Linked DNA regions of Anolis sagrei. The protein of the gene in region 1 interacts with the protein of each later gene in a biochemical or structural test. Links are inferred from orthologs where the notes say so. Each region holds a gene or a part of one and is shown in the gene's direction. Other genes may lie near its edges.

Evidence for each region.
Region 2: the proteins of KIT (region 1) and KITLG form a complex in vitro, tested with the Homo sapiens proteins (3 studies listed by BioGRID and IntAct, with this or other methods). The link is inferred for Anolis sagrei from reciprocal best matches to the Homo sapiens genes KIT and KITLG.
Region 3: the proteins of KIT (region 1) and YES1 form a complex in vitro, tested with the Homo sapiens proteins (2 studies listed by BioGRID and IntAct, with this or other methods). The link is inferred for Anolis sagrei from reciprocal best matches to the Homo sapiens genes KIT and YES1.
Region 4: the proteins of KIT (region 1) and SH2B3 form a complex in vitro, tested with the Homo sapiens proteins (2 studies listed by BioGRID and IntAct, with this or other methods). The link is inferred for Anolis sagrei from reciprocal best matches to the Homo sapiens genes KIT and SH2B3.

The regions. Positions count from the first base shown.
Region 1 is NC_090025.1:74,176,277-74,183,615, reverse strand, and holds the start of KIT (mast/stem cell growth factor receptor Kit), read left to right. Parts: upstream 1-4,337; 5' UTR 4,338-4,467; coding exon 4,468-4,531; intron 4,532-7,339. UniProt on the Homo sapiens protein: Tyrosine-protein kinase that acts as a cell-surface receptor for the cytokine KITLG/SCF and plays an essential role in the regulation of cell survival and proliferation, hematopoiesis, stem cell maintenance, gametogenesis, mast cell development, migration and function, and in melanogenesis.
Region 2 is NC_090025.1:152,739,735-152,746,743, reverse strand, and holds the start of KITLG (kit ligand), read left to right. Parts: upstream 1-3,989; 5' UTR 3,990-4,294; coding exon 4,295-4,309; intron 4,310-7,009. UniProt on the Homo sapiens protein: Ligand for the receptor-type protein-tyrosine kinase KIT. Plays an essential role in the regulation of cell survival and proliferation, hematopoiesis, stem cell maintenance, gametogenesis, mast cell development, migration and function, and in melanogenesis.
Region 3 is NC_090024.1:61,126,265-61,134,126, reverse strand, and holds the start of YES1 (tyrosine-protein kinase Yes), read left to right. Parts: upstream 1-4,842; 5' UTR 4,843-5,064; intron 5,065-7,862. UniProt on the Homo sapiens protein: Non-receptor protein tyrosine kinase that is involved in the regulation of cell growth and survival, apoptosis, cell-cell adhesion, cytoskeleton remodeling, and differentiation.
Region 4 is NC_090034.1:30,911,735-30,919,485, reverse strand, and holds the start of SH2B3 (SH2B adapter protein 3), read left to right. Parts: upstream 1-4,731; 5' UTR 4,732-5,082; coding exon 5,083-5,148; intron 5,149-7,751. UniProt on the Homo sapiens protein: Links T-cell receptor activation signal to phospholipase C-gamma-1, GRB2 and phosphatidylinositol 3-kinase.

The DNA.
Region 1 (7,339 bases):
CAGTGCTCTAACAACTTTTCAAATAGAGGACTTTTCTCTGTAAAGAAGGTCACATGGTCAATTTTGATCAGCACTGAGTTTTATCACGGAATGATAGGCCACTGCTGCACAAAGTGGACTTCTACCAATGTTGTCACTGCCACAGATACAGTCTCCCAAATTTCCAGGTCTCGCCAACCAATACTTGTCTCTAGAACTCCAGATCCAATTTTTTTTGTCATGTCAGGAACGACTTGAGAAACTGCAAGTCGCTTCTGGTGTGAGAGAATTGGACGTCTGCAAGGATGTTGCCCAGGGGACACCTGAATGTTTTGATATTTTATCATAAAAAAGTTTCTCAAGTCACTCCTGACACGAAAAAAACAAAAACAAAAAACCAACCCAGAATATCAAGGCAGAAATTTACACAATATTGGCTTAGAATTGGGTTATCTAAGTCCACACTGCCATATATTCCAGTTCAAATCAAATAATATAGGATTTATCCAGCTGTGTGGAAGGAGCCTAACTAGTCTCTGAGAAGTCTTAGGCCCCTACTTCACTGCCATATAAAATCCAGATTATCTGCTTTGAACTAGATTATATGCAGTGTAGACTCATAATCCAGTTCAAAGCAGATAGTATGGATTATCTGCTTTGATTATCTGAATTATAAGGCAGTGTAGAAGGGGTCTTAGACTGGATCTACATTTCCCTATATCACAGATCCGATCCACAATTATCTGGCAGTGTAGACTCATATAATCCAGTTCAAAGCAGATAATCTGGAATCAGATCCTGGCATATAGGACAGTGTAGATCCAGCCTTACTCAAATGCTTACAATTCTATTGTTACCCATTGACACGGCAATCCAATACCACACATTCTTAACATTCACAATTCTTCAATAAAAATGCCATAAGAGAAATGGGGAAAAAATTAGCAGAGTCCAGGTCATGATCACCCTAAGGCATTTTGGTGACTGAGGCTGGATCTATACTGCCATATAATCCAGTTTAAAGCAGATAATCTGGATTTTATATGGCAGTGTAGATCTAGCCTGATATAATAGGGCTGGATCTGTGTTGTCGAAAAATGTTGTTCCTCTTCTTTATAGCCTTTATTCCTTATAAAGAAACTGCCAGGGCTGAAAGATGATGGGGAAATGGCTCAGATGTTGCCACCTGAGAAGTGGTGGCTTCACTGTTTTTCATTAGGGAGCCGGCCCAGATGCAGCCATGCTGAACTATTCCTAAATGTGGAAACTGTGAGTTGGGTATGCTCAATTGCACTCTGCGAAAGACTGGCATGCCAACCGAGAGTGACTAATGTGATTTATGGATACTTGGTTTACTTTTTAGCATACAAATGTTGAGTATCTCTTATCCGCAATGCTTGGACCAGAGTGCTTTGGATTTGGGGTTCTTTGGGTTCCTGTATTTGCATATTTGCACACAAGGAGATGTCTTAGACATAAGACCCAAGTCTAAACCCAAAATTATAAACAGCCTCCAACTAAGTTTATGTAATATATATTTTAAATATATATATATAAATGAAGCACAAGTTTGTATACATGAAACCATCAGAAAGCAAAGGTCTTGTTATCTCAGGCCCTCTTGTGGATAATTTTGGATTTTGGGGTGTATTTTGGAATTCCGGGTAAGGGATGCTCAACCTGTATCAGTAGCAATGCATGGATTGTTAGACCTCTCTCAGAATAAGCGAAGTTTCAACTGAAAGGAGGAAATCATGAAAATAAACAAAATCTGGCTACCAGTATTTAAAAAATAAACTCCAAAATCAGGACAGTAAATAAAGAACAACACTCAGAAGACAGGGGGATTCCAGACAAGAAACTATCAGGGCTAGTAACACCTCCCAACAAAGGATCCCCAGGCAGGAAGTAGCCAGGCTTTGAAGCTGCAAGGCTATTCAAAGCTAATCAAGCTCGCCAGCTGAAATATTTGCACTTGCCTCAAGCAGACTAGAGTTCTTTATCCAGCCCTGGACATTCTACAGATATATAAACCTCACTTGCCTAGTTTCCAACAGACCTCACAAGCTCTGAGGATGCCTGCCATAGACTCAAATAATGTGGGATTTTCTGCCTTGGTATTCTGGGATATAGAGCTGTGTGGAAGAGCACCGGGTTATCTGAGTCCACATTCAGTTAATGTGGGATTTCCTGCCTTGATATTCTGCGATATAGGGTTGTGTGGAAGGGCCCCAGGTTATCCGAGTCCACACTCAGATAATGTGGGATTTCCTGCCTTGATATTCTGGGATATAGGGTTGTGTGGAAGGGCCCCGGGTTATCTGAGTCCACACTCAGTTAATATGGGATTTGCTGCCTTGATATTCTGGGATATAGGGCTGTGTGGAAGGGCTCCAGGTTATCCAAGTCCACACTCAGTTAATGTGGGATTTCTTGCCTTGATATTCTGGGATATAGAGCTGTGTGGAAGGGTCCTGGGTTATCTCAGTCCACGCTCAGTTAATGTGGGATTTCCTGCCTTGATATTCTGGGATATAGGGCTGTGTGGAAAGCCCACAGGCTGTGTAGAAGGGCCCCGGGTTTTCCAAGTCCACACTCAGTTAATGTGGGATTTCCTGCCTTGATATTCAGGGATATAGGGCTGCGTGGAAGAGCCCCAGGCTGTGTGGAAGGGCCCCAGGTTATCCGAGTCCACACTCAGTTAATGTGAGATTTCCTGCCTTGATATTTGGGAATATATATTGGGAATATATTTGTGAAAGGGCCCCGTTATCTGAGTCCACACTCAGTTAATGTGAGATTTCCTGCCTTGATATTCTGGGATACAGGGCTGTGTGGAAGGGCCCCAGGTTATCTGAGTCCACACTCAATTAATGTGGGATTTCCTGCCTTGGTATTCTGGGATATAGAGCTGTGTGGGAGAGCACCGGGTTATCTGAGTCCACATTCAGTTAATGTGGGATTTCCTGCCTTGATATTCTGCGATATAGGGTTGTGTGGAAGGGCCCCAGGTTATCCAAGTCCACACTCAGATAATGTGGGATTTCCTGCCTTGATATTCTGGGATATAGGGTTGTGTGGAAGGGCCCCGGGTTATCTGAGTCCACACTCAGTTAATATGGGATTTGCTGCCTTGATATTCTGGGATATAGGGCTGTGTGGAAGGGCTCCAGGTTATCCGAGTCCACACTCAGTTAATGTGGGATTTCTTGCCTTGATATTCTGGGATATAGAGCTGTGTGGAAGGGTCCTGGGTTATCTCAGTCCACGCTCAGTTAATGTGGGATTTCCTGCCTTGATATTCTGGGATATAGGGCTGTGTGGAAAGCCCACAGGCTGTGTAGAAGGGCCCCGGGTTATCCAAGTCCACACTCAGTTAATGTGGGATTTCCTGCCTTGATATTCAGGGATATAGGGCTGCGTGGAAGAGCCCCAGGCTGTGTGGAAGGGCCCCAGGTTATCCGAGTCCACACTCAGTTAATGTGAGATTTCCTGCCTTGATATTTGGGAATATATATTGGGAATATATTTGTGGAAGGGCCCCGTTATCCGAGTCCACACTCAGTTAATGTGAGATTTCCTGCCTTGATATTTGGGAATATATATTGGGAATATATTTGTGGAAGGGGCCCGTTATCTGAGTCCACACTCAGTTAATGTGGGATTTCCTGCCTTGATATTCTGGGATACAGGGCTGTGTGGAAGGGCCCCAGGTTATCTGAGTCCACACTCAATTAATGTGGGATTTCCTGCCTTGGTATTCTGGGATATAGGGCTGTGTGGAAGGGCCCCGGGTTATCTGAGTCCACACTCAGTTAATGTGGGTTTCCCTGCCTTGATATAATGGGATATAGGGCTGTGTGGAGAGGCCCTGGGTTGTCTGAGTCCACACTCAGTCAATGTGGGATTTCCTGCCTTGGTATTCTGGGATATAGGGTTGGCATTTCCCTTCCTGAGGCATTTAGAACTGGGGGGTTTATGTGGAAAGGCACCCTATATAAAGTGTTCGTAGTTTAATAAACTTTCCCCATGTTTTTATGACAGGACCAATTAGGAAATGGCAATGATAAGTCAGGCACTGAAACCGTGTTACGTAGCGTTGTGATTATTATTATTATGTGTTGAAAAGGCAATTGACTTTTCCACAAAAGGGGAGAGAATCCCACTGCCTCAGACACAAGAGCTGGGAGCAAGCGCCCAACGGTCTTCCTGAGGCGCGCGCGAGGCGAGAAAAGAGGGTGCGCGAGCGAGCGAGGGAGAAACAAAGGGGCGTGGCTGCGAGAGAGAGAGAGAGAAAGGGAAGGAGGGAGGGGAGAAGCCGGAGGGGGGAGTTGGACGCCCCCTCCCTCCCTCTCCCGCCAGCGCGCGCGGCATCCGAGGTTGGATGTGTCGCGCGCCGCCCGCGCTTCCTTTCTCACTCCTCGCCTGGCTTTGGAAGAGGTCAGTCAGTCAGTCGGTCCGTCGGGAGGGACGCTCGCTGCTGGCGTCATGAAAGCCTCCTGGGCTCTCGAAGTGGCCTGGCTGGCGGCGCTTCTGGGCTGCCCGGCAACAGGTGGGTGAGCGGGGTGAAGCGGAATAGGAAGGGAGGGGGCGTGTGTTAGGGCACCTGAAGCAAAGGCTCCTTCAGCGCCGCCTCGCTCGCTTCTTTTCCCCGGTCCGGCTTGAGTTAGGCGCTCCACGCCCTCCTCGGTGCCGCTTCCAAAGGCTTGGCTTTGAAGTTGCATCCCAAGAGCTGGAAGCGTCCCTGAGGCGCGCGCGAGGGAGCCAGGAATTGATTATTATTGATTATTACAATATACTAGCCGTCCCCTGCCATGCATTGCTGTGGCTCAATCTGGATCCCCCGGTGGTGCAGTGGGTTAAACCCCTGTGCCCTCAGGACTGAAGACCCGACAGGTCAGAGGTTCAGATCTGGAGAGGGCGCGGATGAGCTCCCTCTGTCAGCTCCAGCTCCCTATTCGGTGACATGAGAGAAGCCTCCCACAAGGATGATAAAACATCAAACACATCCGGGCGTCCCCTGATGAACGTCCTTGCAGACGGCCAATTCTCTCACAAATCCGGGGAAAGTACGAATGAGCTCCCTCTGTCAGCTCCAGCTCCCTATACGGGGACATGCGAGAAGCTTCCCACAAGGATGATAAAACATCAAACACATCCGGGCGTCCCCTGGGCAACATCCTTGCAAATGGCCAATTCTCTCACACCAGAAGCGACTTGCAGTTTCTCAAGTCGCTCCTGACACGACCAAAAAAAAGAAAAGTCTGGTGATTTGGAAAATAAAGTAATGAGAAAGTGTTGGTTTCTAATATATGTAATTTCTTTATGCTTGTTGTTTCTTTGTCAGTGTTGATGTGGAGATTGTCAGGTTTGCCTACTCTGGAACATGCGACATATAATTGTCCTTAGAATCATAGAATCATAGAGTTGGAAGAGACCTCATGGGCCATCCAGTCCAATCCCCTGCCAAGAAGCAGGAATATTGCATTCAAATCACCCCTGACAGATGGCCATCCAGCCTCTGTTTAAAAGCTTCCAAAGAAGGAGCCTCCACCACACTCCAGGGCAGAGAGTTCCACTGCTGAACGGCACTCACAGTCAGGAAGTTCTTCCTCATGTTCAGATGGAATCTCCTTTCTTGTAGTTTGAAGCCATTGTTTCGCGTCCTAGTCTCCAGGGAAGCAGAAAACAAGCTTGTTCCCTCCTCCCTGTGGCTTCCTCTCACATATTTATACATGGCTATCGTATCTCCTTCTTTAGAGGTCCCTTTCAAAACTATGATACTATATCAGTCATATACATAAATGTGTGTGCGTGTGAATCATGTAAATCTGTGTATATCTATGGCTGGATTGTCCTTTAGTGGGCCATTTCAAATCTATGACACTATATCTGTCATCTACATATATGTGTGTGTCAACATATCTATCTATCTATCTATCTATCTATCTATCTATCTATCTATCTATATCTATGGCTGGATGGCTCTTTGTCAGGAGGGCTTTGGTTATGTTTTCTTGCCTTGGTGAAGGGAGTTGGACTGGATGGTCTTAAGTCAGTGTTTCTCAATCTGGGAGTCGGGATTCCTGGAGGAGTTGTGAGGGGGTGTCAGAAGGGTCGACAAAGACCACCAGAAAACACAGTATTTTTGGTTCTGTGTGGGAAATTTGACCCAATTCTATCATTAGTGGGGTTCAGAATGCTCTTTGATTGTAGGTGAACTGTACATCACAGTAACTACAACTCCCAAATGTCAAGGTCTATTTCCCCCAAACTCCATCTGTGCTTGTATTTGAGCACATGGAGTATCCGTGCCAAGTTTGGTCCTGATCTATCATTGTTTGAGTCCACAGTGCTCTCTGGATGTAAGTGAACTACAACTCCAAAACTCAAGGTCAATGCCCACCAAACCCTTCTAGTGTTTTCTGTTGGTCGTGGGAGTTCTGTGCGCCAAGTTTGGTTCAATTCCATCATTGGTGGAGTTCAGAATGCTCTTTGATTGTAGGTGAACTATCAATCCCAGCAACTACAACTCCCAAATGACAAAATTAATTTTTTTAGTGATGATCACTCCTTGGGTTAGTAGGTGTCTTGTGGCCAAATTTGGTGGCAATTCGTCAAGTAGTTTTTGAGTTATGTTAATCCCACAAACGAACATTACATTTATATATATATAGACTAGAACTCCCAAACTCAAGGTCAATGCCCACCAAATCCTTCCAGTATTCTCTGTTTGTCTTTTGAGTTCTGTGTGCCAAGTTTGGTTCAATTCATTGGTGGTGTTCAGAATGCTCTTTGATTGTAGGTTAACTATAAATCCCAGCAACTACGACTCCCAAATGACTTAATTAATTTTTTTGAGTGATGATCACTCCTTGGGTTAGTAGGTGTCTTGTGGCCAAATTTGGTGGCAATTAGTCCAGCGGTTTTTGAGTTATGTCACTCAAAATGAACAGCATTTTTATATATATAGATGATCATAGGTATAGGCAAACTTGGGCCCTCCAGGAGTTTTGGACTCCAACTCCCACAATTCCTAACAGCTTACCGGCTGTTAGGAATTGTGGGAGTTGGAGTCCAAAACCCCTGGAGGGCCTAAGTTTGCCCATACCTGTATTATCCTCATCCTCATCATTATCTGTGTCGTGGGGTGCATCTCCACTGCAGATTTCAAGCACCTTTACTCCACTTGCACTGCCCTGGCTCAATGCTATGGAGTCCGGAGTGTTTGTTTGTTTTGCAAGGTCTTGAGCTTGCTTTGCCCAAACGTGCAGGTGCCTCAGTACACTACAAATTCCAGGATTCCATTGCAGTTGAATAGGTATCACAGCATTCAGAGATGCTTGCACAGACACACCCA
Region 2 (7,009 bases), about 79 Mb from region 1:
TTTTTTTAAAAAAAAAATAAATAAATCTAAAAAGCAAATCTTGATCTTGAAATTTTATATAAGAGATACCATTCCAGGACCTGAGCACAGGGTACCTGGAACTAACCCTCAGCAGATATGAAGTGCCCACTGTAGTCATGTATTGTACAAATTTACTTGGTCCATTTAGCCCATATTTATCATCTGGCTCCTGCACTTTTCTCTCAGCCTTGTCCTTGCAACTGTTTTGCACAAGCCCCTGCCTCACCTGTCAGCTCAGTACATGGCCTCTGGGATAGGCTATTGGTTGTTTTGATGGTTTGATTGTTGATGGTTATGTTTTTATGAGGTTTTTTATTTGAATTTTACTGTGTTATATTTTAATTTTTGTCTGACTGGGCTTGGTTCCCATGTAAGCTGCCCAAAGTCCCTTCAGGGAGATGGTGGCAGGATAAGAAAGTAAAGTTGTTGCTGTTATTATTATTACTACTACTACTATTTCTGTACAGCTGCTGCCTTTTGAAAAATTAGACAGAAACAAAGAAAGAGCAAAACAGTCACAGAAGTTTCTGGAATGTCTGTTTTTTGTGCAAGGAGAAAGGATGGGAAGGGTAACCTGAAAATACTGTTTCCAGAAATCCATGTCTGTTTGTGTGTGTAAAACTAGTGTTTTATCACAGAAACAAGAGTTTTTTCCCCTTCCAAGTTCTACTATATGTATTATGGGGTAAGAGAAAACCCATAAGTCCCAATGACAATCCTAAGACAATCCTAGGAACTACAAAGCAGACAATCCTAAGACAATCCTAGGAACTACAAAGCAGAGAAAAAAGAGTGATTTTTGTCACCCTTTACCTTCAATTTCCCTTTTATCATTCCAAGAGACTTCTGTCTCTGCCATGGTCTTTTCTTTCTTTCTCCATCTTTCCTATTCCTTCCTTCCTCTGTTTCCAAATCTGTGTGTACTGGACTTTCCCCTCCTTCCTATTTTTTTTTTACTTGCCATCATTGCTATTACCAACAAACCAACTTTTTTATTCCTTTCCCAAATGGAATTGTGCTCCAATTCATTTTTTTTGAATTTAATTCCAGACATGAGGGTGGTTGATGAATGGGGGCGATTAATAGAAAGAAAACTGATTGGATTGAATTGGATTTGGCTGGAAAATGGCAAATTAATTGGGGGTAACCCCATGAGTCACCCTTAGTTGGCTGTTTTTCACACTAGTTCATAGCTATTGCAAATTAATTGTAATTGGAGAAAACAACTAACTTGAGATGATCAAGGGGGGATGAGACGCAAATGAATTGGATGATATATTTTATTCACAGTGATTTCAATGGAAAATTAATTGCCTAGCTTGGCCATGTGTGCAATTATTTCTGAGTTTGCATGTGTAGTTATAAAATTAGCTCACACAACTCTGGAAATGAAATAGCTTTTATATTTCCTTCCGTGTTCCTGAAGCCTCTCTATCCTTGCTTCCTGCTCACCAGCTTCCAAGGCCTGAGCAACATTATAAGATCTACATGGCTTGGGTCCAGAGTTTCTGAAATACCATAAATGAACCAATAAGAGCCACACCAAGCTTCAAGATCAGCAGGGGAGTTTTCCCTTGGTCCTACCCTTGGTCATGGGCTCATTTGGGGAAAACACATAAGGGAACCTTTTCAGTGGCTTCTTCCAAGTCATAGAAATCCCTTCCTCAGAAGGTCCAGTTGTCCCTACTCTTGATGGTTTTCTGTTAACATCTATAGACCTATTTATTTAATGAGACATTTGGTTTGTTACGTGCCAAGAGGAAGGAGTGTCAAGCCAACTCTGATCGGAACCACCTTCCACCTGGAAATCAATGTCCACACTGCGGGAGAACATGCGGGTCAAAAATAGGGCTCCACAGCGACCTACGGACCCACCACCAAGAGACTACACTTGGAGGATTTGAACCACCAACCTTTCGGTCAGCAACCTCAGCAGCTCAGCATTTCAACCCGCTGTGCAACTGGGGGCTCTTCAAAAAGGTGAAAGACTTTGTAAAACTTTCAGGATTCCCTTGCCAGTTAAAGCAATGTCAAACTGTATTCATAGATGCATCTCCCCCACCTCCACGCTTTTGAAGGAGGTGCCTAGGCAAAGATACTTTCAGTGGTGCATCTATTAAGCCAATTTGACATCACTTTAACTGGCTATGGCATCGTGAGTTTTACAAATGTTTGGCCTTCTTGGCTAAAGTGGGTGGGTACCTCACCCACACTTCCAAGATCTGACAGCAGTGGTTCTCAACCTTCCTAATGCTGCAACCTCTTAATACAATACCTCATGTTGTGGTGACCCCCCAACCATTAAACTATTTCCATTGCTACTTCATAACTGTAATGTAAATATCTGATATGCAGGACGTATATTCATTCACTGGACCAAATTTGGCACAAATACCCAAGAAGCCCAAATTTGAATACTGGTGGGGTTGTGTGTGTGTGAGAGAGGGGGGTATTGATTTTTTCATTTGGGAGTTGTAGTTGCTGGGATTCATAGTTCACCTACAATCATAGAGCATTCTGAACTCCACCAACAATGGAATAGAACCAGTCTTAGCACAAAGAACTCCCATGACCAACAGAAAATACTGGAAGGGTTTGGTGGACATTGACCTTGAGTTTTGGAGTTGTAGTTCACCTACATCCAGAGAGCACAGTGGACTCAAACAATGATGGATCAGGACCAAACTTGGCACGGATACTCAATATGCCCAAATGTGAGCACTGGTGGAGTTTGGAGAAAACAGACTTGACATTTTGGAGTTGTAGTTGCTGGGATTTATAGTTCACCTAAAACCAAAGAGCATTCAGAACTCCACCAATGATGGAATTGAACTCCCATGACTAACAGAAAATATTGGAAGGGTTCGGTGATCATTAACCTTGAGTTCTGGAGTTCTAGTTCACCTACATCCAGACAGCACTGTGGACTCAAACAATGAAGAATCAGGACCAAACATGGCACGAATACTCAATATACCCAAATGTGAATGCTGGTGGTGTTTGGGGAAAATACAGCTTGACATTTGGGAGTTATAGTTGATGGGATTTATAGTTCACCTAGAATCAAAGAGCATTCCGAACTCCACCAATGATGGAACTGAACTAATCTTAGCACACAGAACTCCCACAAAGAACAGAAAAAACTGGAAGGGTTTGGTGGTCATTGACCGTGAGTTTTGGACTTGTAGTTCACCTACATCCAGAGAGCACAGTGGACTCAAACAATGATGGATCAGGACCAAACTTGGCACGGATACTCAATATGCCCAAATATGAACACTGGTGGAGGTTGGGGAAAATAAGAGTTTGGCATTTGGGAGTTCACCTAGAATCAAAGAGCATTCTGAACTCCACCAATGATGGAACTGAACCAATCTTAGCACACAGAACTCCCACGAAGAACAGAAAACACTGGAAGGATTTGGTGGTCATTGACTGTGAGTTTTGGACTTGTAGTTCACCTACATCCAGAGAGCACAGTGGACTCAAACAATGATGGATCAGGACCAAACTTGGCACAGATACTCAATATGCCCAAATGTGAGCACTAGTGGAGTTTGGAGAAAATAGACTTGACATTTGGGAGTTGTAGTTGCTGGGATTTATAGTTCACCTAAAACCAAAGAGCATTCTGAACTCCACCAATGATGGAATTGAGCCAAACTTTTCACACAGAACCCCTATGACCAACATAAATACTGTATTTTCTGATGGTCTTTGGCGACCCCTCTGAGACCCCCTCGCGACTCCCCCTGGGGTCCCGATCCCCAGGTTGAGCAGCACTGCCCCCCAGCATGGACCCCTGGCCATTCAAGTGCGTCAGCCCGCCTTCCTCTCTGGCTCTGGCTGGGAGGGCTGAGGTTGTCCTCCTGCGCTCCATCTCGCTGAAGTTCCCCAGGGCTCTCCCCCCCCCCCCAATTCCTCCCCCTTCCCTCCTTGGCAAGAAGGACGCCAGGAAAGGCGTGTCCTCCGCTTCCAAGCCCGAGCCGTGGAAGGAGGCAGCTCGCAGCTATATAAGAAAGGCTCCGACTGCTTCGCACAGTCCTCGCTTTGGCGGAGCTGAGAAGGAGGGCGGCTGTGCCAAGGCAAGGCAAGGCAAGGCAAGGCAAGGAAGCGCGTGGGTGGCGGGTCCGGGGCGAGGAGGGTCGCAGAGCCAAGCGAGGGAGAGCCCAATGCACGGACTAGCCGCCTTCGCAACATGCTGGAGCTACAGAGGCGCTAACAGGAGTTTGCACACAGCTGCTGAGGCGGGATTGCAGCGCTCTCTTTCCTTATGAAGACGGCACAAGTGAGTAGCCAAGCCGTGGAGGAGGAGGAGGAGGGGGGGGGGTGGCACTTCGCCCCTCGAGGGCAGCCTGGCACCGGTTTGCCTCGCAGAAGCGTGGGTTGAGGGGTTGCCTTCTTCCACGTGCGTTGGAAAACTGACCCTTTGCACACACACACACTCACATCTCTATGGGCATCAGTCGTCACTGGCGGAGAACTTGCCCAGTTTGCCAGGCTAGGGAAGAGCTGCCATGCCAAGGTGCCTTCCTAGTAGAAGCTTTGTCCTGGTAACTTGCCCAGGGAGAGCTGCCATGCCAAGGTACCTTCCTGGTTGAAGCTTTGCCCGGGGGCTTCCCTCCCTTGTTGCTTCTCTGCCCTGTCCTTTGTACATGATGGAGCTGGGGAAGTTCCTGCCTCTCCCTGGTAGGACCAAGGCACTATAAATAGTCAATGCATGATCAGGGTGTCTGCTAGGGTTTGGTTCCAGGACTCCCATGGATACCTAAGTCCCCTTATATACAATGGTGTTGTAGGTCAATGGTCTTCCATGTATACAATGGCAAAATCAAGGGGTACTTTTCGGGTTTTTTTTTTTTTCAAATCCTGGATGGTTGAATTCATGGATACAGGATTTATGGCAGTGGTCTCAACATTCTGAATGTCGTGACCCCTTAATACAGTTCCTCATGTTGTGGAATGACTGATGGTGCAGTGGGTTAAACCACTGAGCTGCTGAACTTGTTAGATTGAAAGGTTGCAGGTTCGAATCCGGGGAGCGGAGTGACCTCCTGCTGTTAGCCCCAGCTTTTTTCCAACCTAGCAGTTTGAAACATGCAAATGTGAGTAGATCAATAGGTATTCTGGCAGGAAGGTAATGGCATTCCATGCACTCCATGCGGTCATGCTGGCCACATAACCTTGGAGGTGTCTACCTCCAAGCTCTTCAGCTTAGAAATGGAGATGAGCACCAACCCCCAGAGTTGGACACGACTGGACTTATTGTCAGGGAAAAATGCTTACTTTTATCTCATGTTGTGGTGACCCCTCCCAACCATAAAATTATTTTTGTTGCTACTTCATAACTGTCATTTTACTACTGTTATGAATTGTAATGTAAATATCTGATATGTAGGATGTATTTTCATTCACTGGACCAAGTTTGGCACAAATACCCAACACACCCAAATCTGAATACTGGTGGGGTTGGGGGGTGGATTTTGTCTTTTGGGAGTTGTAGTTGCTGGGATTTACAGTTCACCTACAATCAAAGAACATTCTGAACTCTACCAACAATGGAATTGAACCAAACATGGCACACAGAACTCCCATGACCAGCAGAAAATACTGGAAGGATTTGGTGGGCATTGACCTTGAGTTTTGGGAGTTGTAGTTCACCTTCATCGAGAGAGCACCGTGGACTCAAACAATGATTGATCAGGACCTAACTTGGCACGTATACTCAATATTCCCAAATGTCAACACTGGTGGAGTTTAGCAAAAATAGAGCTTCACATTTGGGAGTTGTATTTTCTGGGATTTATATTTCACTTACAATCAAAGAGTATTCTGAACCCCCACCAACTATAGAATTGAGCCAAACTTCCCACACAGCACACCCATGACCAACAGAAAATACTGTTGAGAAAAACTGATCTATGGACAAGCAGTTTGGCACTATGATTCCATTCAACCTGCCCCATACAACAGAATTGGCAGAGATGCTGCCATGTAAAAGCATGCAATGGGCCTGCTTTGGACATTGCTCAGTGCCCACTTCCCTCTATCCTTGCCACTTCTATGCATTTTGCATCACACTCTGTACATTTATTGGCTCTGGTTCCATTTCCTCCCCACAAGGTGGCAAAGGATATATTCCCATTGATAGATGTATAGAGATGGACAAGGGGCATTTTCAGAGAAAAAGGGACTGGAAAATAAAATTCTGTTTTTATGTATAGATAACTGGTTAGCAAGCCAGGCCATGAAACAAAAATATTGTGACCGGTCCATCTCCAGCCACGTATTTGTGTATATCTGCCATTGTCTCTTTGAGTGACAGAGCCAATGCTTTCCCTTCCTCACTGACTTTTCTCAAAGGTTTATACTTTTCTTTACTCTTTTCTCCGAGGCACTTGCCATTTACCATTTTAGACACAGAAAAAGGCTGCAATAGAAGAAAGAAAGAGAAAGAAATCTAGGCTGGGGTCAGAAAACAAAATATTGATTTTGGAAATTTCAGATTTTTTAGAAAACCATCCATTTGTGAAACAGTAACTCCTTGGAATTGAGGGAGGAGGGTTGAAATGTTGCCATCACAGTATTTTTCCTTTTAAAATGTGTTAATGCCTGCTGGGTTGTTCTCTCATTGTCTTCCCATTATAATGGGGAATAAAATTCTTCAGAACATTCTATGGCAGGGCTGGGGAAGTTTGAACCACATATTTTAATTTACAATTAGGAGCCCCTGGTGGTGCAATGGGTTAAACCCTTATGCTGGCAGGACTGCTGACCAAAAGGTGGTTCGAATCCGGGGAGCAGGGTGAGCTCTCATCTGTCAGCTCCAGCTTCCCATGCGGGGACATGAGAGAAGCCTCCAACAGGATGGTAAAACATCTGGGCGCCCCCTGGACAACGTCCTTGCAGATGGCCCATTCTCTCCTGACACTCCTGACACACACAAACAGTGATCATGTTGGGTGGGCTTCTGGAAGCTGAATGCCAA
Region 3 (7,862 bases), on another chromosome or scaffold:
TATAAAACACAAAATATTAAAACACACACACAAGGGGCCCCATATCACCTAATCAGTGGATACTGGGATCTTTGAGGGTACAGAGGTTGGCCCAAGTTTGGGGCATGGAAAGGGGCAATGAAAAGGGGGAAAGAGAGGGGAGAGAAGCCCTGCTTGGGATGGAGGGGCTGTATGATAACCGGGGTAGGCTGTGAAAGTAAAAAAGGAAAGCAAAAAGGACACAATGAAGGCTACAGTGAAACAAGTATGAGAGCAAAAGGACACCGAGGTGTCTATTTATTAAGGTGTTACTATGTACTTGTCCTATCTCTGCATTAAGGCAAGCAACTGGTGTAGCTCTGCTAAAAGTGTAGCTCAGTGAACATCTTTGGTTTTCTAGTGAAGAATTACCTGTATGGTCTTATGGATATTTCTTTATAAAGTCCCAAATAGAGCTCAGTTCATCCACTGGATAGTTAACTTTGAGTGTCTTGCTGGAAAAATACAGAAAACAGTTGGAACATTATACAAATAAAACAGGAAACCAGAGAGAGAGAGAGAGAGAGAGAGAACTTCTGGAACATGGCCCTACAGCCTGGAAAACTCACAGTGGTGATTTTGGTCATGAAAGCCTACAACAACACATTGGTTACTATGTAACTCATAAAAGGGGGTTTGGAGATTATGTATCTTCTGGAGCTTGTGGCTGCTGCAGGTCTTCCTAGGTTCTCCAGCTGGCCAATAGTTAAGGCCACTTTGTGGCCCCATTTCTTAAGGTTGGCTCTGCACCTGGTGGTGCCAGAGCGCAGCCTGTTCAGAACCTTCCAGGTCATCCAGATTTCTGTGTGCCCAGGAGGGAGTCTCACACCCAGTTTCAGCCACTAATTGAAGTGCTGGGTTTTAGCCTGCCACTTTTGGACTCTCGCTTGCTGAAGTGTTCCTGTGAGTGTCTCTGTACATCTTAGAAAATTATTTTTTGATTTAATGTGTTGGTGTGCTGGCTGATATCTGGACAGAGGGTGGGCCGGAGATGTCACTGCCTTGGTCCTTTCAGTAGGAACTTCCTGACTGTGAGAGCTGTTCAGCAGAGGAACTCTCTACCCCCTGGAGTGTGGTGGAGGCTCCGTCTTTTAAACATAGGCTGGATGGCCATCTGTTGGGATTACTTTGAATATGCTTTTGGACTTGATGGGCCATGTGGTTTCTTCAAACTTTATAATTCTATAATTCTATATAATACAGTGCATGCATTATTAGGGTACCTTGAATGCGATTTTCCTGCTTCTTGGCAGGGGATTGGACTGGATGGCCCACTAGGTCTCTTTCAACTCAAGGGTTCTATTATTATTATTATTATTATTATTATTATTATTATTATTATTTCTTATCAAAAGCATTGCATAAATTAGTATAAAACAGATGAAAATAGAAGGAGCACAAGTGGCTAAATATCTTTTGACCAAAAACGGGCAAAAGCAACAACATTGTCTGTAGCCTCCAACAATTCTTCCTTTGTACATGAGGCAGGGCATAGTGGACAAGCATACAGATGCAGAGTTGTCTGTTCTGCTCCAGTCATACAAGGTGGGGGATTCTTTTAGGTAGTGCCATTTTGCCAGGCTGTCTTTTGATCGATCCACTCCACTTCTGGGTCTGTTCAGGGACTTCCAAGTTGTCCATTCTTGGTTTGCCCCTGGAGGAAGACCCGGGGGGGGGGGGTGGCCATTCATTTAGGATTTCCTGGTTTAGCTGCCCAGAGGGATAGTATTGCCGTTACTGGGGGAACGTTAAAAGGAGTGGTGGTTCTCATTATAAACCAATTTCATTATAATGGAAACCAAAGTGCTCTTCCAGCAGGCACCAGCCAATCCGCCTGCAATGCCAGAAATACAGCTTAATGGTGTAACATTAGAAAATGTTGACCATTTCCACTACCTTGCCAGCTACCTCTCCACAAAAGTCAACATTGACACTGAAATACAACACTGCCTGACCTCTGCGAGTGCAGAATTTTTCCAAATGAAGCACAGAGTGTTTGAGGACCGGGATATCTGTAGGGATAACAAGGTGCTTGTTTATATAGTTATTGTCCTCCCAACTCTGCTATATACCTGTGAAACATGGACTATCTACAGATGTCACATGCAACACCTGGAACGATTCCATTGGTGTTGCTTCTGCAAAATCCTGCAAAACTTTTGGGAAGACAGGCGGACAAATGCCAGCATGCTGGAAGAAGCAAAAACCAATTCTGGCTTAGATGGCATTGGTTCTAATGGCTTGTTCTTGAGCTGCCAGAATCAGGCCCTCTGTCTCCTTTTTCAAAGTTCCATTTGTAAGCCACAGCCATGTTTTTTCTTCGTCAATTTGGCTCTCAATTTTTCCCAGGAACTTATTATTATTTCTCTATGATTATTGGCTGCTACTTCCTGGAGGATCTCTGGATTATCTGCCTTGATATTCTGGGTTATATGGCTGTGTGGAAGAGCCCCTAGTTTCTTCAAGTGTTAATCTGTTGACCTAGCACTCTTTGGCAAAAGCGAAAGCCCTTGTAAAACTATACACCTCCTGGGATTCCATAGTGCAACCAATAGGCTGTTAGGAATTGTAGGAGTTGCAGTCCAAGTTTGCCCAGGCCCCGTCTACACAGTTCCAAGCTGCATGGTGTTCAGAAGTGTGTCCCACTGCCTTTCTGAACAAATCAGTGTTGGGTTGTTGTAGGTTTTTTCAGGCTATATGGCCATGTTCTTGAGGCATTTTCTCCTGATGTTTCGCCTGCATCTATGGCAAGCATCCTCAGAGGTAGTGAGGTCTGTTGGAATTAGGAAAAAGGGTTTATATATCTGTGGAATGACCAGGGTGGGACAAAGGACTCTTGTCTGCTGGAGCTAGGTGTGAATGTTTCAACTGACTGCCTTGATTAGCATTTGATGGCCTGGCAGTGCCTGGGGCAATCTTTTGTTGAGAGGTGATTAGATGTCCCAGATTGTTTCCTCTCTGTTGTTTTGCTGTTGTAATTTTAGAGTTTTTTTAAAAACTGGTGGCCAGATTTTGTTCATTTTCATGGTTTCCTCCTTTCTGTTGAAATTGTCCACATGCTTGTGGATTTCAATGGCTTCTCTGTGCAGCCTGACATGATAGTTGTTAGAGTGATCCAGCATTTCTGTGTTCTCAAATAATATGCTGTGTCCAGGTTGGTCCATCAGGTGCTCTGCTATGGCTGACTTCTCTGGTTGAAGTAGTCTGCAGTGCCTTTCATGTTCCTTAATTTGTGTTTGGGCAATGCTGTGTTTGGTGGTCCCTATGTAGACTTGTCCACAGCTGCATGATATACGGTAGACTCCTGCAGAAGTGAGAGGATCCCTCTTGTCCTTTGCTGAACGTAGCATTTGTTGGATTTTCTTGGTGGGTTTGTAGATTGTTTGTATGTTGTGTTTCCTCATCAGCTTCCCTATACGTTCAGTGGTTCCCATGATGAATGGCAAGAACACTTTTTCTCTGGGTGGATCTTTGTTTTTACTCTCATGGCTTGTTCTCGGTCTTGCAGCTTTTCCGATGTCTGAGGTGGAGTATCCATTGGCCTAACAACCACGATGTCAGACTACAAAGAGAAGCCATTGAAATCCACAAGCATGTGGACAATTTCAACAGAAAGGAGGAAACCATGAAAATGAACAAAATCTGGCTATCAGTATTAAAAAAAATTACAACGAGAGGTGGCCCTAGGTAATTTTCAACAGTAAGCAAACAGTATCCCCCCCCCCCAACCAATCACTGATATATATTTTCTGTTCGTCATGGGAGTTCTGTGTGCCATATTTGGTTCAATTCCATCACTGGTGGAGTTCAGAATGCTCTTTGATTGTAGGTGAACTATACATCCCAGTAGCTACAATTCGCACATGTCAAGGTCTATATGTATGCAACTGGAGCAAAACATTGATGTATATATTAATTTCAGTCCACCAGAAGGCCTTTAGTAGGCCGAAGCCGGTAGTGGACGGCTGATTTACAAGCTACTCATAAGAAGATACGACTGTACTAAAATTTGCACAATATTGTTTGTTGTTGCTGTGAGGTTGAACAGTGCGGCATGTTTATGTACTGTTGTTGAATTATATTATTGTTTATCTTATACAAGTGGTATTTTTGTTGTATGCACTTCATTCAGGAACCCATTTATATTATATTATAAGGTCTATTTTCCCCCAAGAGCGCCCCTGGGCAAAATCAACTATACTGCAAATGCTTACTTTGCGTAATGGGTTGAGCCGCCCTTGATTACAACAGCAAAACAACAGAGAGGAAACAATCTGAGACATCTAATCACCTCTCAACAAAAGATTGCCCCAGTCACTGCCAGGCCATCAAATGTTAATCAAGGTGGCCAGCTGAAACATTCACACCTAGCTCCAGCAGACAAGAGTCCTTTGTCCCACCCTGATCATTCCACAGATATATAAACCCCTTTTCCTAATTCCCACAGACCTCACTACCTCTGAGTATGCTTGCCATAGATGCAGGCGAAACGTCAGGAGAGAATGCCTCTAGAAAGTGGCCATATAGCCTGAAAAAACCTACAACAACCCAGTGATTCCTGCCATGAAAGCCTTCGACAAAATCAGTGTAGTCTGGAATAGAGTTGCAAAGGAAGCTTTCTCAAGACTGTTCCTTAACAACTCTCTCTTTTCACTTTGAAAAGAGTGAGAGAAGCCTCTCCCCCTCCCCTCCTCTCTCCCTACTTCCGGCTCCGAAGTCCAGGCTCCGTCCCATTGGCGGGGGAGTCAGGACCTGGCGCCTTTCGGCGAGGGGCCCGCCAGGGGGCGCTGCGCGGAAAGGGTGAGACCAGCCCTCTCCTGTCCTCTCCTCTCCTTCCGGAGTTTCCCCTCAGCAACAGCTGCTGCCTCCCCCCTCACAGCTCTTCCTCCGCGGCCGCCATGTTGGCTCGGGATGGTGAAGCGGGGCTCCTCTGAGGGCTTGTGAACGAGCTTGAAAGCCCTCCATGGAGCTCCTGGAGCGGGGCTGAGCGGCCCCTTCCGAGGCGGAATTATTCAGGCCCGCCGAGGAGCCCTCTCCGTCAGGCAGGTGAGCACCCTGGGCGCTTCTCTCTCCCCGCGCTTCCCGCAGAGTCCCTTGGAGAGCGCTAGGCCTCGCTTTCAGGGCTGAAGCGACGCTTTGACGCAAACATGGGCCCTCCAGATGTTTTGGACTTCAACTCCCACCATTCCTAACACCCTCAGGCTCCTTCCTTTTCCCCCTCAGCCGCTTAAGCGGCTGAGGGGGAAAAGGAAAGAGCCTGAGGCTGTTAGGAATGGTGGGAGTTGAAGTCCAAAACATCTGGAGGGCCCAAGTTGGCCCACGTCTCCCTGGACGCCATCCTCTCTCGTGCCTGCTTCGAGTCTCCTTCCTAGGAAGTTTCCCCAAAACTTCCTCCTCTTCCCCCACCTCCTTATTGGAATATGTGTGTGTGTGTATGTTGTCATGTGCATCTCTACACTTAGACTTTTAACTACCACGACTCCATTCCAGGGCTTCCCAGTTCTCAGTGTTCTAACTGGGAAGCCCTGCCCCTTGAGTGCTCCAGCTTGAGGTCAGCTGTGACCAGCAGTGCTGCAGAATTTGAAGAGGCACGAATGGAGGGTGAAAGAGAGAAACGTGCCAGGAGGAAGGCGCGTCAAGCCAACCCCGGCCGAGACTGCCTTCCATCTGGAAACCAATGCCCTCACTGTGGGAGAAGATGCAGGTCAAGAATAAGGCTGTTTTGATACTCTGGGTTATATGGCTGTCTGGCAGGCCCCTGGAAAGGGGATTGTGTGCCAGTTTGGGGATGCATCTACATCAAGCATGGGCAAACTTAAGCCCTCCGAGGTGTTTTGGACTTCAACTCCCACCATTCCTAACAGCCTCAAGCCCTTTCTTTTACCCCCTCAGCTGCTTAAGGCCTGAGGATGTTAGGAATGATGGGAGTTGAAGTCCAAAACACCTGGAGGGCCCAAGTTTTCCCATGCCTGATCTACACTAGGATTGATGCACTTTGACACGGCTTTTAACTGCTATGGATCCATGCGATGGGATGTGTAGTTTGGCAAGGCACTCTTCTTTGGCACAGGAAGAGTGAAGACCTTGCCAAACTAGAACTCCAATGATGTGTGTGTTTGTGTTGGTCCCCTTTTCACTCTTCCTTTTCTTTCCTCACACCTCTCCTAGGCTCCTTCCACACAGCTGAATAAAACCCCAGTTATCTGCTTTGAACTGGGATATATAGCAGTGTAGACAGATCACCCTGTTCAAAGTAGATATTGTGGGATTGCAGATATTGTGGGATTTTCTGCCTTGATATTCTGGGTTATATGGCTGTGTGGAAGGGCCCTAGAAAGTTTCCCCTAAACTTCCTTCTCTGTTCAATCTACTTGGGGGTTGGGAGAGTAAGTAAAAATTAAACAAAGTAAATAAAACTTTTATTTCTATCTCGCCCTATCTCCCCATGGGAACTCAGGGTGGTTCACGACATAAAAGGCAAACATTCACTGCTGTATAATACAACAATGTATTGAAAGTGTTTTAGAGTTGAGATTATAGGATCATGTTTTGTGGATTTCTTCAAATGATTTCCTTTTTATTCATAGTCTTCAAGGTATACAGTGGCAGAAGGTTGGTCGCCTCCTGACCTGTGCTCACTAAACAAAGCTGGGAGCCAGGGAGGAGAGCTTTGTTTTGTGTGTGTTTTGGGAGTCTCCTTCCTATTTACCTTTCCATTTATTTCCTCTCAACTGCCCTTGAAAGTTTTCAACAAATTTCCTCTTTTTCACACCAATGGAAAGGAGATGTGCCTATTTTGGGGTTAAACACTGGAGTTTATGTGGTTTGATGCCATTTTCACTGCATGGCTCAAAGTTGTGGGATTTGTAGTTTGGTGAGACCCCAGCAATCTTTGACTGAGAAAGACCTTGTAAGACTGCAACTTCCATGCTTCCATAGCATTGACCATGGCAGTTAAGGTGACGTCAAACTGCATTAACTCTACAGTATGGGTGCAGCCATAGTCAGCGGATTTCCTTCTAGTGTTTCATCCTCAAGATACATTTGGGCTCCTGTCTTTCCTCCTCTTAAAGAGCCCACTATGCAGATGTGGCAGCAAGGGAGGAGAGCTGCATTTTGTGTATGTGTGTATTTGGAGCCTCCTCCTCAGTCATGGTTTGGTTCTTTCCTCCCAACTCTCTTCTCGGCCTATTTCTTTGGGGGTGTAGGTGTTGGAGGGCAGATTGTGTACATGTTTTGGCCTCATAATGTGGAGATTCTTCAGAGGACCTCCTTTTAGTGTTTCATCTTCAAGATACATATTGGTGGATGGTTGGGCTCCTCCTAACCTCCCGACTATGCAGAGGGGATGGCCAGGGAGGAGATCTGCATTGTGTGCGTATTTGGGGGTCTCTTTCCCACTCATCCTTTGGTTCTTTCCTCCCAGTTGTCATAGGAAAATTTCCCCAAAACTTGTTCCTCCTTCCCACCTATTCCTTTTGGGTGCATCTATGCATTCCCCTTAAGGTAACTTAACACCACTTTAACTGCCATAGCTCAATGCTATGGAACCTGAAATTTGCAGAGAAGACTAAAGATCCTGTAAAACGTCAACTCCCAAGATTCCATAGCATTCAGCCACGGCAGTTAAAGGGGTGTCAGATTGCATTAAAATGTCATCCTTGGTCTCAGAGTCATTGTGGACATTATTCAAAGGACTTGAATAATGTTTTGTTCTCAAGATACACTTGATATACTTTGGCGAAAAGTCGAGCATCTGTCTTTCCTCTACTATCCTCCTCCTAACCTGCCCACTATGCAGAGGTGGCAGCCACAGAGATCTGCTTGCTTTCTGCATTAGAGCC
Region 4 (7,751 bases), on another chromosome or scaffold:
TACCAAGAATATCAGTAATGGCAGGGAACAGGAGCCGAGCCAATAACTAGGCTTGCAGTGCCCCCTGCCGACCACGTTCACAATTTCCTAGCAAAACAAGCAGTTTCTGCTTTTCATCCAGGAATTATTCAGAGCCTCCAAAGCAGGCATGGGCCAACTTGGGCCCACTAGGTGTTTTGGACTTCAACTCCCACAATTCCTAATAGCCTCAGGCCCTTTCCTTTTCCTTTTCTGCTTAAGTGGCTGAGGGAGAAAAGGAAAGGGCATGAGGCTGTTAGGAATCCAAAACACCTGGAAGACCCAAGTTGGCCCAGGCCTGCTCCAAAACAAAGGTGACTTGGAACATCAAATTTAGCAGGACCCCCCCCCCCCCCCCAGCCGCTGTCGTCAGAAAGCATTGCCTGCTTTCATCAGTCCAGCTTTTGGTCCACCACTTTATTGGAAATATCCCCTTTTCTTCCCCTGGCCTGATCGGTGAAGCGGCCGTGCCACCTGCTGGTTACGTGGATGGTTGCCTCAGCCAAACCCAATTATGGCCAATTAAAGCATCCTTGTTTTCAGCTTTCACCCAAGAGCACCTTAGGACAGACAAAGCTGGGCACAGTGAAGTGTTTTTGAGCCGGATTGGTCTTGAGTGGCTATTGAGATCCATTAACCAACAAATGGGAGTAAGTGCAGCGAAATGGAGGTAATTGCTGCATAAACAAGGCCAATATACACAATTACGCCCTACCTGCTAATTCCTATTTTTAACTCCCCTGACGAGATGAGCATTGTGGACAATCGCACTGAGTGACTGTAGATGTACCAGGAAATTGCCCAAGGGTCAGCCAGCGGTCCATCGATGACACGGACACAGATCGCTAGCCTCCAGCTACATTATCAGGCTGGCTCTCCATTAATTTAATTGCTACCTTAAGAAATAGCTCGGTTCCATGTGATACTATATCCACGGGATTCTAAATCAGCCACTTGGGGGTCAAAAGATAACAACACCTAGCATCCGCAGACAGCATTGGAAGCCACAATCCCCAAAAGGCCATTTTTCCAAGGTGGATTAAGACAAAAGCCCAAGATGGCTTTGAGGTGTTCAAGTGGCCAGCAGGTGGCACTCGGGCCCAGCACTTGTCCATTCCTTCTTATTATTAAGAATTGCTGAGAGTTGCATCCGGCTATTATTCGTAATAACAGTCATCTTAACTCTTTTCATTCGGCTTCTTTTATCCATGCTTGGATTGCACAAAAACACTTGGATTATGCAACATGTTGCTCAGGCAATATGTAAAGCCCGCGGAGAGGAGGGGAAGCAGCTAATGATCCTAAGGAGTTGGGTCAAAACGACCTTTTCCTGGGTCGCTCTGTCTTTCTCTGAATGCAGCAAAGGCCCCAGAGTTGTAGTTTAGCAAAGCCCTGGCTTTCTTGAGCAGAGGAGGCCAAAGATAGTGCCCAGCCACAACGTCCAGGGCTCTGTCGCAGTTAAAACAGGGTCAGATTGCATTCATTTGACAGTATAGATGTGTCAGTTCTTGTGAGTTTTTTCGGGCTATATGGCCATGTTCTAGAGGCATTTCTCCTGACGTTTCGCCTGCATCTATGGCAAGCATCCTCAGAGGTGAGGTCTGCTGGAGCTGGGAAAAAAGGGGTTTATATATCTGTGGAATGACCAGGGTGAGACAAAGGGCTTTTGTAAGTTGGGCTAGGTGTGAATCTTTCAACTGACCACCTTGATTAGCATACAATGGGCTGACTGTGCCTGGAGCAAACTCTTCTTGAAAGGTGATTAGATGTCCCTGCCTGTTTTTCTCTCTGCTGTTTTTGCTGTTGCAATTTTAGAATTTTTTAATATTGGTAGCCAGATTTTGTTCATTTTCATGGTTTCTTCCTTTCTGTTGAAATTGTCCACATGTTTGTGGATTTCAATGGCTTCTCTGTGTAGCCTGACATGGTGGTTGTGAGAGTGGTCCAGCATTTTTGTGTTCTCAAATAAAATGCTGTGTCCAGGTTGGTTCATCAGGTGCTCTGCTATGGCTTATTTCTCTGGTTGGAATAGTCTGCAGTGCCTTTCATGTTCCTGGATTCTTGTTTGGGCGCTGCGTTTGGTGGTCCCTATGTAGACTTGTCCACAGCTGCATGGTATACAGTAGACTCCTGCAGAGGTGAGAGGATCCCTCTTGTCCTTTGCTGAACGTAGCATTTGTTGGATTTTCTTGTTGGGTTTGTAGATTGTTTGTATGTTGTGTTAGTATAGATGTGCTTTCTGTCTTTCAGGCAAGGTGTTTCAAACCAGGGCTTGGACTGTTTTTTTCTGTAGAAGGAATTGATAGTGTTACTTGTCAGACATTGAAGACTTTTAAGCGAGTGACAGTTCCTTTTGGGATACAAAAAGCTCTGGGTCCATCTATACTGTAGACTTAATGTAGTTTGGCACCGCTTGAACTGACATGGCTCAAGGCAATGGAATCTTTAGCCTCCTTTTCCAAACTACAAGTCCCAGGGTCCCACATCATGGAGCCAAGGCAGTTCCAGTGCAGTCAAGCTGCATTAACTCTGCAATAGAGACTGATCCTTTGTGTCTTCTCTTCAAATGCAGGCCAAAAGCCTATCAGAAAGGCTATTTGGAAAGAGCTGTAAGAGGAGTGCACTCTGCGCTTGCTCAGAAACCCTGCCCCTCTTAAAGCACATCCTTTTGGACTGAGGAGGTGGAATGAGGGCTGTCTCTGTACGAATCCTGGGAGTTGTAGTTGGATAAGCCTTCTCTCCTTAAGGCAAACTACAACTCCCAGGGTTCCTTGAGCTGGGGCTCCATTGCATTAAACTGCTGCAAAGTCATGCCAAACAACATTCCTTTTCAGGCCTTTCAAGCCAGGACAAGGCTGCCCCTCCCATTGTCCCTCCCTGATGGGAATTGCAGTCCAAAAACACTTCAGAGGACAAGATATGAGGAATTAAAAAAAAAACCCAAGAAGTAGGGAGCGGTGCTGGACATCATCATCATGGTCTTCCAAGCATAGGGTCTTGGCGGTGGAGACCCATTCTTGACCCACATGTTCTTCCACAATGAGGACATCCATTTCCAGATGGAAGGTGGCTCCAACAAGGGTTGGCTTGAAGCGCCTTCTTCCTCTTTATTCTTTTCTCCCAGGTCCACCCCCTTTAAAGATTTCAGCAGGGATCCCATCAGGTCCACTGGCTTTGTTATTTTAAGCACATTGTTCAATGTCCTTTCCTGTCCACCAACATTCTGTTTTCCGTTCTTGAGTTGGGAGTAGAATAACTACTTTGGGAGACTATGATCTTTGGGCATTCGGGCAATGTAGCTTTCGGTCCAGCTGAGTTGATAACAGAGGAGCATCGCTTCAATACTGGTGGTCTTTGCTTCTTCCAGCACGCTGACATTTGTCCGCCTGTCTTCCAAAGAGATTGGCAGGTTCTTCAGAGGCAAAGCTGATGGAGAAGTCAATTGTGATGTTTGTAGATGGTCCGTTTTGATACACTTGGAAGGACAATAGCTTTATAAGCAAGCATCTTGGTCTCCCTATTAACATCCGATCCTCAAACACTCTCTGCTTTATTCGGAAGAATGCTGCACTTGCAGAGTGTGTGATGTGACATTAAGACGAAACAAAACAGTGTTCCTTCTGGAAAGCGCCACTTGATTTTCCCCTCACAACAATCCTGCAAGGGAAAATGGCCAGCTAGGCCTTCCTCGTGCATTGAGTTAGGCCGTGGAAGTGGGCTAGTTATTTGATAACTTGTGTTGGGGAGCAGGGTGAGCTCCCATTGTTAGCCCCAGCTTCTGCCAACCTAGCACTTTGAAAACTCCATGCAGTCATGCTGGCCACATGACCTTGGAGGCGTCTACGGACAAAGATGTGTGGAAGGGCCCTGGGTCCACATTGCCATATATTTCAGTTCAAACCAGATATTGTGGGGTTATCTGCCTTGATATTCTGGGAGCCCTTCCACACAGCCATATAATCCAGAATATCAAGGCAGAAAATCTGCTTTGAACTGGGTTTTCTGTGTGTGTGTGTGTGGACTAACTTAAGAAACTGCAAGTTGCTTCTGGTGTGAGAGAATTGGCCGTTTGCAAGGACATTGCTCAGGGGACGCCCGGATGTTTTGTGTTTTACCATCCTTGTGGGACGTTTCTCTCATGTCCTTGCATGGGGAGCTGGAGCTGACAGAGGGAGCTTTCCCCGGATTCGAACCTCTGACCTGTCAGTCTTCAGTCTTGCTGCACAAGGGTTTAACCCACTGCATCACGGGGGCTTATCTGAGTCCACACTGCCATATATCCCAGTTCAAAGCAGATGTGGGATTTTATTCAGCTGTGTGGAAGGGGCCTGGATTATATGGGTGTGTGGAAGGGCCCTGGGTCCACACTGTCATATATTCCAGTTCAAAGCAGACAAGGTGGGATTTTTTACAGCTGTGTAAAAGGGGCCCTCAGATAGACATTGTGGGTTATTCTGCCTTGTTATTCTGGGTACTCTGGCTATATGGCAGGGCCCCTAGGGGCCCCTCAGAAAGGGCGAGGGACGAAGCCGCGAGGCGCTTTTAGCCTTTCCCGCCTTTTTCACTTTTTTTTAAAATTTCTTTAGTTTCCTTCGGGTCAGGCGCTTTTCCGTCGAAGTGTGCGAGCCCACCCCCCCCCCCCCGCCTTTGCCTTCCCTTCCCAGCACGCGCCTCTTTTGCTGCTCTTCCGTCGTCCCTCCCTCCCTCCGGCCGGAGCCGTCCAAAAAGGCAAGAAGGAAGCGGGGCGGGCGGAGGGAGGGAAGACGGAAGAGCCGAGAGGGAAGAGCGGCGGCAGCAGCAGCAGCAGCAGCGTTCCTTGAGTTTCGCCTCAGTAGCTTTCCAAGCGCGCTCCGACGGGCAGCGCCTCGGAGCGCTCCTCCCGTCGGCTAGGGCTTTTCTTCCTGCCGAGGGAAGGCTGCGGCACTCGGCGGCAGCGCTGCTGCTTCCCGACGGGGAGTATGGGCAAAGGGCTCCCCGCCCGGCGGCGCCTTCGACGTAAGCAAGCAAAGCGGCATAAAAGCGCGGGCGGCGAGGCGCGGGACCCAGAGGCCGGCTGGAGGCGCCATGCAGCGGCAGCCAAAGGAAAAGGAGGAGGAGGAGAAGGAACCCCTGCTGCTCAGCCAGGAGCCGGTAAGACCGCGCCCAGCCCTGGGAGTTGTAGTTCGCTACTGCTTCCAAGGACGGGGGTCTCTTGGAAGACAGCAGAGCTGCAACAAAAGACACATCCTGATCCTGACATACTATTACTACTGATAGTATTGCTACTATTCATACATACTAAGCATGGGCAAACTTCGGCTCTCCAGCTGTTTTGGACTGCAACTCACACAAATCCTAACAGCCGGTAGGCTGTTAGGAATTGTGGGAGTTGTAGTCCAAAACACCTAGAGGGCCGAAGTTTGCCCATGCTTGGTATATACTATTCATATTATTAATTCTAATCACTATATACATCATATTATTATTATTAATAATATTGTAATATGATATGTTATATAGGCTACAACTTGTGATATAGTACAATATATTCTATAATACTAATTAGATGGTACTATATTAATATAGTACCATCTAATAATAATAATAATAATAATATTGTAATATAGTAATGCTAATATATTAAATATAACAATATTGCAGTATAGTGGTATAGTAATGCTAATATAATATAAAATAATATATAATAATATATATTGATAAGATAATGTTATACAAAATACTCATAATAATCAATCCAATAAATAATAATAATAATAATAATATTGTAATATAGTAATTCTAATCTATTGAATATAATAATATTGCAGTGTAGTGGTATAGTAATACTAATACTAATATAATATAATATATAATATAATAATAATATATAATATTGATAATAATATTATAATATTATACAAAATACTCATAATAATGCCATCTAATAATATATAATAATAATAATATTGTAATATACTAATGCTAATATATTAAATATAATATTGAAGTATAGTGGTATAGTAATACTACTAATAATATAATATATAATATAATATATAATATTGATAATATTATAATGTTCTACAATTATATTAATAATAATGCCATCTAATAATATATAATAACAATATTGTAATCGTGTAATACTAATATATTAAATGTCATAATATTGCAATATAGTAGTATAGTACAATATAGTAATAATGTAACACAATATAATATTAAAAATAATACAATCTAATAATATATAAAATAATATTATATTGATAATAATATAATGTTATGCTATATACTTATAATGCAATCTAATATATAATAATATTGTAATATAGTAATACTAATATATTAAGTATAATATTGCAGCATAGTGGTGTAGTACAATGTAGTGATAATGTAATATAATATAATAATAATACAGTCAAATAATATATAATAATAATATATTGATAGTTACATTATGTTATGCAATATAATAATACAATCTAACAATCTATAATATTAAATACTAATATTAAATATAATTACTACTGATAATATATAGTAATATATCATGATATACTGTTTTATTTTTGTATATTTGAAGTTGTAATGGTTTTGATTGTGAGCCACTTTTGAGTCTCCATATGGAGAGATAACGTGGGATATAAATAAATAAATAAATAAATAAAACAATACTGGATAATATCTATAATATTGTATTCACATTATTAATATATAGTATTGATATGAGTATTGTGTTATTTGTAAATATATACAAATAATATATTTACAATATATAGTGTTATTCATATTAATAACAGTACTGTATTGTTATATGTATTTCTATCTATAATATCATATTCACATTATTAACATATAGTGTTGATATGAGTACTGTTATTTGTCTTTCTCTCTATAAAGAGTTACTATTCATATTAATAACTGTACTGTATTATTATTTGTATTCCTATGTATAATATCATATTTGATATTATATATAGTAATATTAACAGTACTGTATTATTTGTGTGTGTGTGTATATATATATATATACTAAGTACTATTAATAAAATATACTATTAATACTATTAATGTCAATATTAATTTTAATATATAGTATTAATAACAGTACTGTATTATTATTTGTATATATATAGTAATATAAACAGTACTGTATTTTGTGTGTATGTGTGTGTGTGTGTATATATATAAATACGATGTGCTATTAATAATATATACAATTAATAGTAAGGTTAATATTATAATATATATAGTATTAATAATAACAGTATTGTATTATTTGTATTTCTGTCTATAATATACTATTAGTATTATTTATAGATATAGCAATATTAATATATATGTGTGCGTGTGTGTGTGTGTGTGTATAGCAGTGCAGCTCTCTGCCTGGGAGTGTGGTGGGAGCTCCTTCCTTGGAAGCTTTTAAACAGAGGCTGGATCTGTCAGGGGTGCTTTGATTGTGCTTTTCCTGCATGTCAGAATGGGGTTGGACTAGATGGCCCATGGGGCCTCTTCCCACTCTATTATTATTATGATTATTATTATGATCATCATTATGGCTGGATGGCCATCTGTCAGGGGTGCTTTGATTGTGCTTTCCCTGCATGTCAGAATGGGGTTGGACTAGATGGCCCATGGGGTCTCTTCCCACATCATCATCATCATCATGGCTGGATGGCCATCTGTCAGGGGTGCTTTGATTGTGCTTTCCCTGCATGTCAGAATGGGGTTGGACTAGATGGCCCATGGGATCT